Chlamydomonas reinhardtii: one gene and its partner. The protein of the gene in region 1 binds, or shares a complex with, the protein of each later gene. Links are inferred from orthologs where the notes say so. Each region holds a gene or a part of one and is shown in the gene's direction. Other genes may lie near its edges.

The links.
Region 2: the proteins of CHLRE_12g555250v5 (region 1) and CHLRE_16g673109v5 are in contact, whole or in part, in a cryo-EM structure (PDB 8BEE), measured with the Arabidopsis thaliana proteins. The link is inferred for Chlamydomonas reinhardtii from reciprocal best matches to the Arabidopsis thaliana genes AT3G12260 and mtACP2. Residues at the interface, in NP_566416.1 of Arabidopsis thaliana: Phe27, Asp28, Phe30, Arg31, Cys34, Arg35, Arg56, Tyr57, Ser60, Ile63, Arg64; in NP_176708.1 of Arabidopsis thaliana: Phe61, Gln62, Asp82, Ser83, Leu84, Asp85, Val87, Glu88, Met91, Ala92, Glu94, Glu95, Glu100, Ile101, Asp103.

What each region holds. Positions count from the first base shown.
Region 1 is NC_057015.1:7,575,306-7,579,697, reverse strand, and holds CHLRE_12g555250v5 (uncharacterized protein), read left to right. Parts: upstream 1-1,347; 5' UTR 1,348-1,508; coding exon 1,509-1,598; intron 1,599-1,736; coding exon 1,737-1,859; intron 1,860-2,049; coding exon 2,050-2,091; intron 2,092-2,243; coding exon 2,244-2,279; intron 2,280-2,582; coding exon 2,583-2,708; 3' UTR 2,709-3,903; downstream 3,904-4,392. Other genes in the region: CHLRE_12g555200v5 (uncharacterized protein), read right to left, coding at 112-220, 364-423, 531-621, 913-962, 1,083-1,216; CHLRE_12g555300v5 (uncharacterized protein), read right to left, coding at 3,961-4,073, 4,174-4,392. UniProt on the Arabidopsis thaliana protein: Accessory subunit of the mitochondrial membrane respiratory chain NADH dehydrogenase (Complex I), that is believed to be not involved in catalysis. Complex I functions in the transfer of electrons from NADH to the respiratory chain.
Region 2 is NC_057019.1:3,471,793-3,475,170, forward strand, and holds CHLRE_16g673109v5 (uncharacterized protein), read left to right. Parts: upstream 1-1,556; 5' UTR 1,557-1,658; coding exon 1,659-1,868; intron 1,869-1,985; coding exon 1,986-2,162; 3' UTR 2,163-2,761; downstream 2,762-3,378. Other genes in the region: CHLRE_16g672753v5 (uncharacterized protein), read right to left, coding at 1-37, 297-439, 557-645, 727-830, 994-1,067, 1,147-1,199. UniProt on the Arabidopsis thaliana protein: Carrier of the growing fatty acid chain in fatty acid biosynthesis. May be involved in the synthesis of short and medium chain fatty acids.

The sequences.
Region 1 (4,392 bases):
CCCAGCCCCGGCGCCACAGCCCACCAGTCCACCATGCATGCAAAGGCCGGTGGCCTACACACGTGCGCGTGCGACACCGCTCGCAACATGGCGGACTGAGGTCACACCCACCTGCGGCGGCGTGATGGGCGTGAGCTGCCGCTGCAGTGCCGCCCCGGCTGCGCCGCCTTCGCGCGCTGGGGTGAGGGAGAACGGCCTCCGCTGCCGGAGCGGCTCCACCCTACAGGGTACAAGATGAGGCAAGAGCATAATGCTTGCACGCGCAACTGGTCGGAGGGTGGGACCGCGTGGCACCATGCACGCATGCAGCAGTACATGGCGACAAGCCAGGCAACAACACTGTCAGCACGGCAGAATACTTACTTGGCCGGCGGGGGCGCAAGCCCGTACAGCTTCCGCTTGTTGCCGGTCACGTTATCCTGACTGCATGCATGATGGCCACAAGACAGGACAAGCTACGTGGTTAGCAAGGAGCGTGGAAGCATGGACCAGGCCCCAACCCCCGCCGCTCTCTTGACGTTGCCACTCACACTCTCACGGCTGCCTGGGAGTTGCGCCAGCGGACCAGCGTGTCCAGGGCTCGCCCGCTGAACACCAGCGGCAGCAGCCACAGCAACAGCTCTGTGCACCAGGTGAAAGGGCATGTCGGCCCAAACAGGAACTACCTTGAGCGACACCGCACACAACCTCACCCCTGCGTTTCTTAAGCGTGAGCCCCGCATAGAGCGTGTCCCTCCCGCTGTGGTGCCCCACCCACGTATTGCTGCCAACGTGCAATGCGCTTCACCCGTCACAACCCCCACCGGCGCAGCATGCTTCCCAGTAGCTCTGGCCCGCGCTAACTGTGCTATCCCCCTTCCACCCTGCAGACGCCCCCCCTGTGTCGACCGGCTCCACTCCACCCCGACTCACGGAAAACCAGGCGCAGCCATGGCACTGGCAGAAGCGATACGAGTGTAGATCTGTGCGCATAAGAAAATGGGCAAGCTGTTTAAAAGAAAGCCCGTGGAGACAGCCACCATGGCGGGAACCCGTCCTTTGAGCTAGTTTGAGCGCCGTGTATATGACAGTCATTCGCTGACCTTGAATTTAATGCAGCAACCGAGATCACTGTAAGGAGCGCATCGAGGCCTACGCTACGAGCAGCTTTCGGTGTGCGCACCACAGGCGCAACGACCGTATTGGCCCCGCTAGGGTCAGTATTCCATCGTGCCATTCTAAGTACGCATAGTAAATTTTCCAGTCTGGGCAAACAAAACTAAACACAAAGGTTGGGGCCCCCATTCCCATGCACAGTGGACATTGCGCTGGGGCTTGCGCAGGGCTCGGACATCTAGTCATTTTATACTGCAAAGACTGCTGGAGCTCCCCACTTGGGTGCTGTGACTGTAGGCCTTGCCGATTGAGAGTTTGCCTGGCAGGCCAACCCAGGGAGTCCGCCCTGAGGAGTGTCGCGACTTAACGTTAGGTCATACGATTAGGTCATACTTGCTCAAGAAGCTGTAGCCATGTCGTCCCGACTTGCTCAGAAGGCAGTGGAGGTCGCGCACCAGGACAAGCGCCTGTTCGGGGGTGCTGCTCGGCATTTCTACTTTGAGGTGGGCTGCGATGCCATGGGAGCCATGCCCGGGGCTGCTGCTGCTGGCGTGGGGATGTCACGCCGAGTCTCGCAGAGTGGCATGCCCAGACCCTTAGCGAGGACGTGCAGTCAACAAGCACTGCCGGTTGCGTCGCAGATTTGCCGGTGCTTGCCGTTCATTCAGCGGCTGCACAAAATGGAGGAGATGGTGTCGCTGAAGGAGCTGCGTGCCATCGTTAAGGAGAAGTTCAAGGAGTACAAGGACGTCAAGGACGGGCGGGTGGGTCGCGCCCATGTTGCATGCACAGCAACCGAACGCGGGAGGACAGCGGAGTGGGGGGGTGGGACGGAGCGGGGGGGGGGGGTAAACTGGTAAAGGCGCAGCGGGCTGGGGCTGGGGCTGGGGCAGCGGTCTTGAGCAGGTGGGGCTGATGCTGAACGGGGCTTTGCTGTCGCCCGAATGCGTGCAGGTGGTGGACCTGCTCATCTTCAAGGGCCGCGAGGAGATTGAGGTGAGAGCCAAGATGCCGGGGCTTCTCTGCCAACCCTGTGGCCAGGGTGCTGGGCCTACATCGGGCGTGCCGATATAGCTCGTGCTGACTGGCGCCGTGGTGCTGACCGCGGACCGCCGCCTACTGCCGCCCCTGCCCCGCCCCCGGCGCAGACCTACCTGCTCATGCACAAGCAGCGGCACCACGTGGTGAGCGGGGCCCCGCCCTGGCGGCTGGGGACTGGCGCTGGTGCCAGGCGTGTAGTTGCTAGGTGGATGGGCAGCGCAGCTCACTCCCGCAGGGCGTTGCGGGCAGTGGCAGCGCAGCCTGAGCCGTGGGAGCGCCGCCGCTGGTGCACCACCCCCACACTCCCACTCCACTCTGACATACACGTGTATTGGGTGCGATTCTTGTTGGCAAACAATACTTCGCACGCACGGTGTCGGCCCCATTTTCCTTGCGCTTTCCTATTAATCATACAAGTTATACAACACACCGCCGCTACACAACAGGTGACGGAGGTGGTGGAGCCCTATTACGCCAAGCAGCGCGCGGTGAAGAAGGTGACCACGAACAGCCCCTTCCTGGACAGCTTCCTGTCGTCCGGTTACGCGGCCATTGGCGTGCGCAACTCATAAACGAGAACAGCGACAGCGGACAGGGCGCACGGTACAGCGCGGCTTCTGAGATTGAGGCGGCGACGGGAGTGAGCTATCTGGCTGGTGCTGGAGGATGTTGTGAAGGGTATGTGGGGAGGGTTTCCACAACACACCATTTTGGAGGCGCGCAGTGGCGTGTGGTAGTGGCCGCCGGCTGAAGCTAGGGCTGGTTGGTGACGGCTGTGGTGCTGGACGATTTACAGCTGGTCGGGCAAAGCCTGGCCGGCACTGGCTTATGATGACGAGATAATGAGTAGGGATTACGCATAGGCTTGTGTTAGCTGTTGACAGGGCAACGGCAGAGTGCTGCGTTGCTAAGCTGTCTGAGCAGGGAATTGAGGGATGTAGAGGCGTAGAGACACGTGCAAGCAGCTTACAGGATGACTTCGGCAAGCTTTTATACTAGCATTGATCACAAGAATGGACAAGCGTCCATGCATTAGTTTAAGCTGTGTTCACACTTGCAACGAGAATGGCTTGAGGCATGCCTAGCGCGCGTACGCGTAGAGCAGGTGCTGCGCGTATGGCATGCGCTGGTCGGGCGCAAACGCTTGCCCCGACGTGTGCTTGTGCGAGGTGGGGCTCTGCGGGCTGACGTTGTAAGCGTATGTATCAGCTGGTGTCACCGGAGTGGGAGCGACAGCAGGCCATGCGCTCGGTGACTGCTGGTGCGGAGCAACTGACTGCAGCTGCTGATACGGGCCTGGCGCTGGGTGGTACCCCATGGCTGCATGGGCGTGCGGCGACGGCGGCGCGGCTGTGTGGCTTGGGTAGGCGTAGAACGACATCGTGCCAAGCGCGCTCACCGACCCCAGACTTGCACGCAGTGGCTGCTGCTGCTGCGGCTGCAGCTGCTGCGTCTGATGCGCCGGGCTGGCAGCAAACTGCGGGTCCCCACTGTAGCCAGCCGGAGGGTAGTAGGATGCTGGCGGCGCAGCCGCCCAGTGGCCGAGTGTCTGCCCTTGCAGCTGCGCGGATGGCGGGTGTGACCAGGGCTGCGGCGAGGAGCGCGCCGGCGGCCCCGCCGTCGTGTAGTGCTGCGGTGAAGCCATCGCCTGCAGGTAGGCCGGCCAGTGGCTGCTGCCCGCAACCGGCTGACCGTATCCTGGCGTCAGTCCCACGTGCGTGCCGCCAGACGGAACCGACGGCGTGGAGTGCCACTGCGGCTGCGGCTGCTGCCCCGCAGGGGCAGGAGCTGACGGCGGCTGAGGCGGGGCGCTGCGCATATGCGTCAGCGGCGGCCCGCCCGCCATGAGGGATCCCACGGGCGGCCGCGGCGATGCGGGCGGCTGTAGCAGCATGCCGGTGCCCATGCCCACCGGCGACGAGGCGGGCAGCTGGTGGCTGTAGCCGCCACCGTAAGGGTAGTGCGGCGAGCTGACGGCACCCGCCCATGTGCCCTGTGCGTAGCCGTTGCCCCCGGCAGGGTATCCAGGCTGCGCACCAAGGCCAGGAGCACTGGGTAAGTACTGCTGCTGCTGCTGCTGTTGCGTGTGCTGTTGGTGCTGCTGGGGCTGGGCCGCGGCACCCGGGCTGCGGCCGCCACCGGCCGCACCTGTGCCTTGGGTCCGCCTCCGCTCGGCCTTGGCCGCACTGCCGCTGCGCTCGTGTCGGCGCCGGTCGGCGTGTCGGCTGTCTGCCTTGCGCGGCTTGCCACCGCCGC
Region 2 (3,378 bases), on another chromosome or scaffold:
GAAAAAGCCTCCTTCGACAGACGGGATTGCCACACACCTGCACACCATGGGCAACAACACACAATAATCAGTCACACACGCGCGCCTGATATGTTGTGACGTTACAGGAGGGGCAATCTGCGTGCGCAAGCACGCAGAGACCAACGAATGCTGCCAGGGCCAAACTTGGTTCCACAGACCTTACTGCTGCTGCAAACACTCCTTGCCAGAAGTCTAGCACTCCACGCACTGAGTCAAAACTCAGCCCAAGTAGATCCGCCTTACATGCTAGCAGGAAACTGCGCGAAGGCACTTACTCGCGCTCCAGCCGCCAGCTGCGGCCGCTGTCGAGCCTGACTTGGCCAGCACCTTGGAGTCGTACTTCACCTCCCGCCCGCCCTCCAGAAGGGCAGAGTAGTCCTGCGCCAGCTTGGGTAAAATCATGGGCAGGCCGCCCGTCCTGCAAACAGAAGGATTGTGCCTTGCAGATATGAGCAAAACAGCGGAAACATCATGGAAGCCTCAAGTTGCTCGTGCATCTCGTCCATCAGTGGCGCCAAAGCACTGTAGTGCTCACATGGACGGTGCAGCAGCCTTCGCCGCGGCAACAGCTGCCAGTGCGATCGCATCCAGAGCCGCCGCATGCAGGTCGGCACCCATGTTCGCCTGCATGCCCAGTCACACGTTACGATGTTGTGCGCAGCTCTTCATAATACGATGCCAGAACTAGCCTTCTCCAGTGCATACCTGGCGTGCGCTCTTGGAATTTATTTGCTCCTGGTTTGCTGAGCGGTATCTGCGCACTTGCGCCTCGGTGCGCTCGATATCCACATTGTTGGACAGCCGCCAAACTGTTGCGTGCACATTGGAAATACGTTCGCATTACGGAGGGACTGCTGGGTACGGGTCAGCAGGGCGCAGTGCAAGGTACCTGCGGATTGGCCTGTCCCCCTGTGCCCCATAACGCTGTAACTGTACTCAATATACGGAAACCCAGTTGTGCTGGTACTCAACTGATGTCCTCCACTTCTTCCAGGTAGTCATCGAACTTCTCCTTGCTGTCAAAGTCATCCCGGTCCTTGTTGTATCTGCATCCAAGCGAGGGCTTGTCCGTCACGCAGGCGCGCTGGGCACCAGCATGTCGGCAGTGCGACTCCCACAACCTACATGGCCAATATACGACGGCGCACTTTCAGCTCCTTTTCTAGGTCAATTTCCATGGTCAACTAGCAGGATGGCCCCACGAATATGGTGGGAGGGCTGCTTTGCGTTGGCACGGTGCGTGCACTCGGCACGGTGTTTGGGTGGCGTGGGGCGGGGTCGGCGCGCGTTGATACCCCCAAATGTCACAGACAGATTTAGGTTCCCATGCGTTGAATGGGTCGCTGACTCCCGTGAAAGCTATATTGCGATTCGCGCGGCAATGTGTGCCCTTCGCCGTGCGCAGACACGGTGTGCCAATTAAGATGAAAAACTGTAATTCCAACCATGTAATTTCATCAGTCGAATTGCACTGGGGAATGGAAAGGAGAAAAACAGAGTGCATGGGCTGCCCATTCCGTGAACTCTACCGTCTCCTATGCGCGCCTTGTGCTGTTATTACTGGATGTGCTAAAGACTACGCTGCGTTGTTAGAAGGAAGCTATCCGTTTTCGCTGTCCTGATTTCTTCTTGGCACAATGGCCCTCTCTTCTGCTGCCAACGTGGTCCGGTCGGCTGTTCTGCAGCACTTGCGCGTGACTGTGACCTCCAGCCTTCAATCGAGCTCTCTGCCGACCTTCACCAACATAATCAGCCGTGGCTTTGGTGGTGGCTTCCTGGACAAGGATTCCGTCACGGAGCGCGTGCTGCACGTCACAAAGCACTTTGAGAAGATTGATGCATCCAAGGTGCGTGGGCTCTCGCGGTCCTTGTACGTTTTAAGATGGCGCTGAAGCTCGTTGCCGCGTCCACCGACATGCATGCGCGCTAACCATGCGTTCATTGCATGCGCTGATCATTCTTAGGTGAGCCCGGCGGCCTCTTTCGAGAAGGACCTGGGCCTGGACAGCCTGGACGTGGTGGAGCTGGTCATGGCATTGGAAGAGGAGTTTGGCCTGGAGATTCCGGACGCTGAGGCAGATAAGATTGCTTCCGTGGGTGACGCTATCAACTACATCTGCAGCAACCCTATGGCAAAGTAGAGCAGCGGCGATGATGGCACGTTGCACGCGATGTGGAGCGCAGGGCGGCAGGGCGGCAAGGTTTGGCTTATGGCTTCAACGGTAGGGTAGGGGTGTTTCAGGGCTTGGGGTTTAAGCGAGGTTGAAGGGGTGAAAGCAGCTGGCCGGCAGCAGAAGTGAGTAAGAGTAGGACTGCAGCCTTGTTGGGTATGCCCCCACGGCCCGCACTGGCGGCTGAGTTGCCGCAGTTGTGCCAACTGGTTGAGAGTGCGTGTGTCGTGCCCTGCTGATGTGCGGAAACACCTTTCGTGGTTTCCCAAGATGGGAGTCATAGTGTTAGGTTCGTGTGGTTGTGACGAGCACCACCGCGTATGAGCATGAGCATGTGATGAACGGGTAGATGCGAGTTGTTTACGTGGACATAGGATTGGCATGTAGGCGCATGTACAACTGGCGCACGTTTACCTTCAGTGGTGTCCAGGTGGCTGTAACAGTACGGGGCACGCTCGGTGTGCGCATCCCGACCGCCCAGCCCAACCCCACGACAGGCCGACTGGGCCAAGACTCGGCTCGGCACGTGCGTGTGCTGTGCAGCTTTAGTGGTGTAACAGAACCGCTCCCAGTAGTCATGGGCAAGAGAGGAAGTTCACCAGAAGGGAGGGAGGCAGACTTGACGAAGGGCACAGTGGCAGTCAACGAAGGGAGCCGCTTAGGTCCAACTACCATCACCATTTGACGGACGTTGACCGCGGCAAACCCGCCAACCCCACCAACCACATGGCAAACAGGCGGGCCCTTGATAAGGATAGATCTTGCAGGCGGTGTCCGTATCTAGTAGATGCCCTGAGGCCTGCGGCTTGTAGCTGACCCATAGTCCCATACGGCAGTCCTGGCGACCCGGCGCGCTGGGATCGACAGTGCAATCCTGACCCCACGAGAATCAGACACGCCCATGCCCAGTTCTTCCTGAACCCCGCACGGCAAGGCCCGTACGGCGGTTGGGCAAACTTTGGACAAAGATTCTGACAAGACAGGCGACTGGTGTGGGGGGCAGGTAAAATTCAATTTCTTGTGGGACTTTCGTCCCAACCACTTTTGTGGGGTTTCTCCTACAGCCCACCCGGGGCAGCCCGGGGCCCACCCTTGCCAGCTCCCCTGCTCATACCAGAGGTTCAAAGCACGCCATGCAATCTCCCATGCCATCCGACATGCTCGCAGCCACCCGGTCACCGGCCAT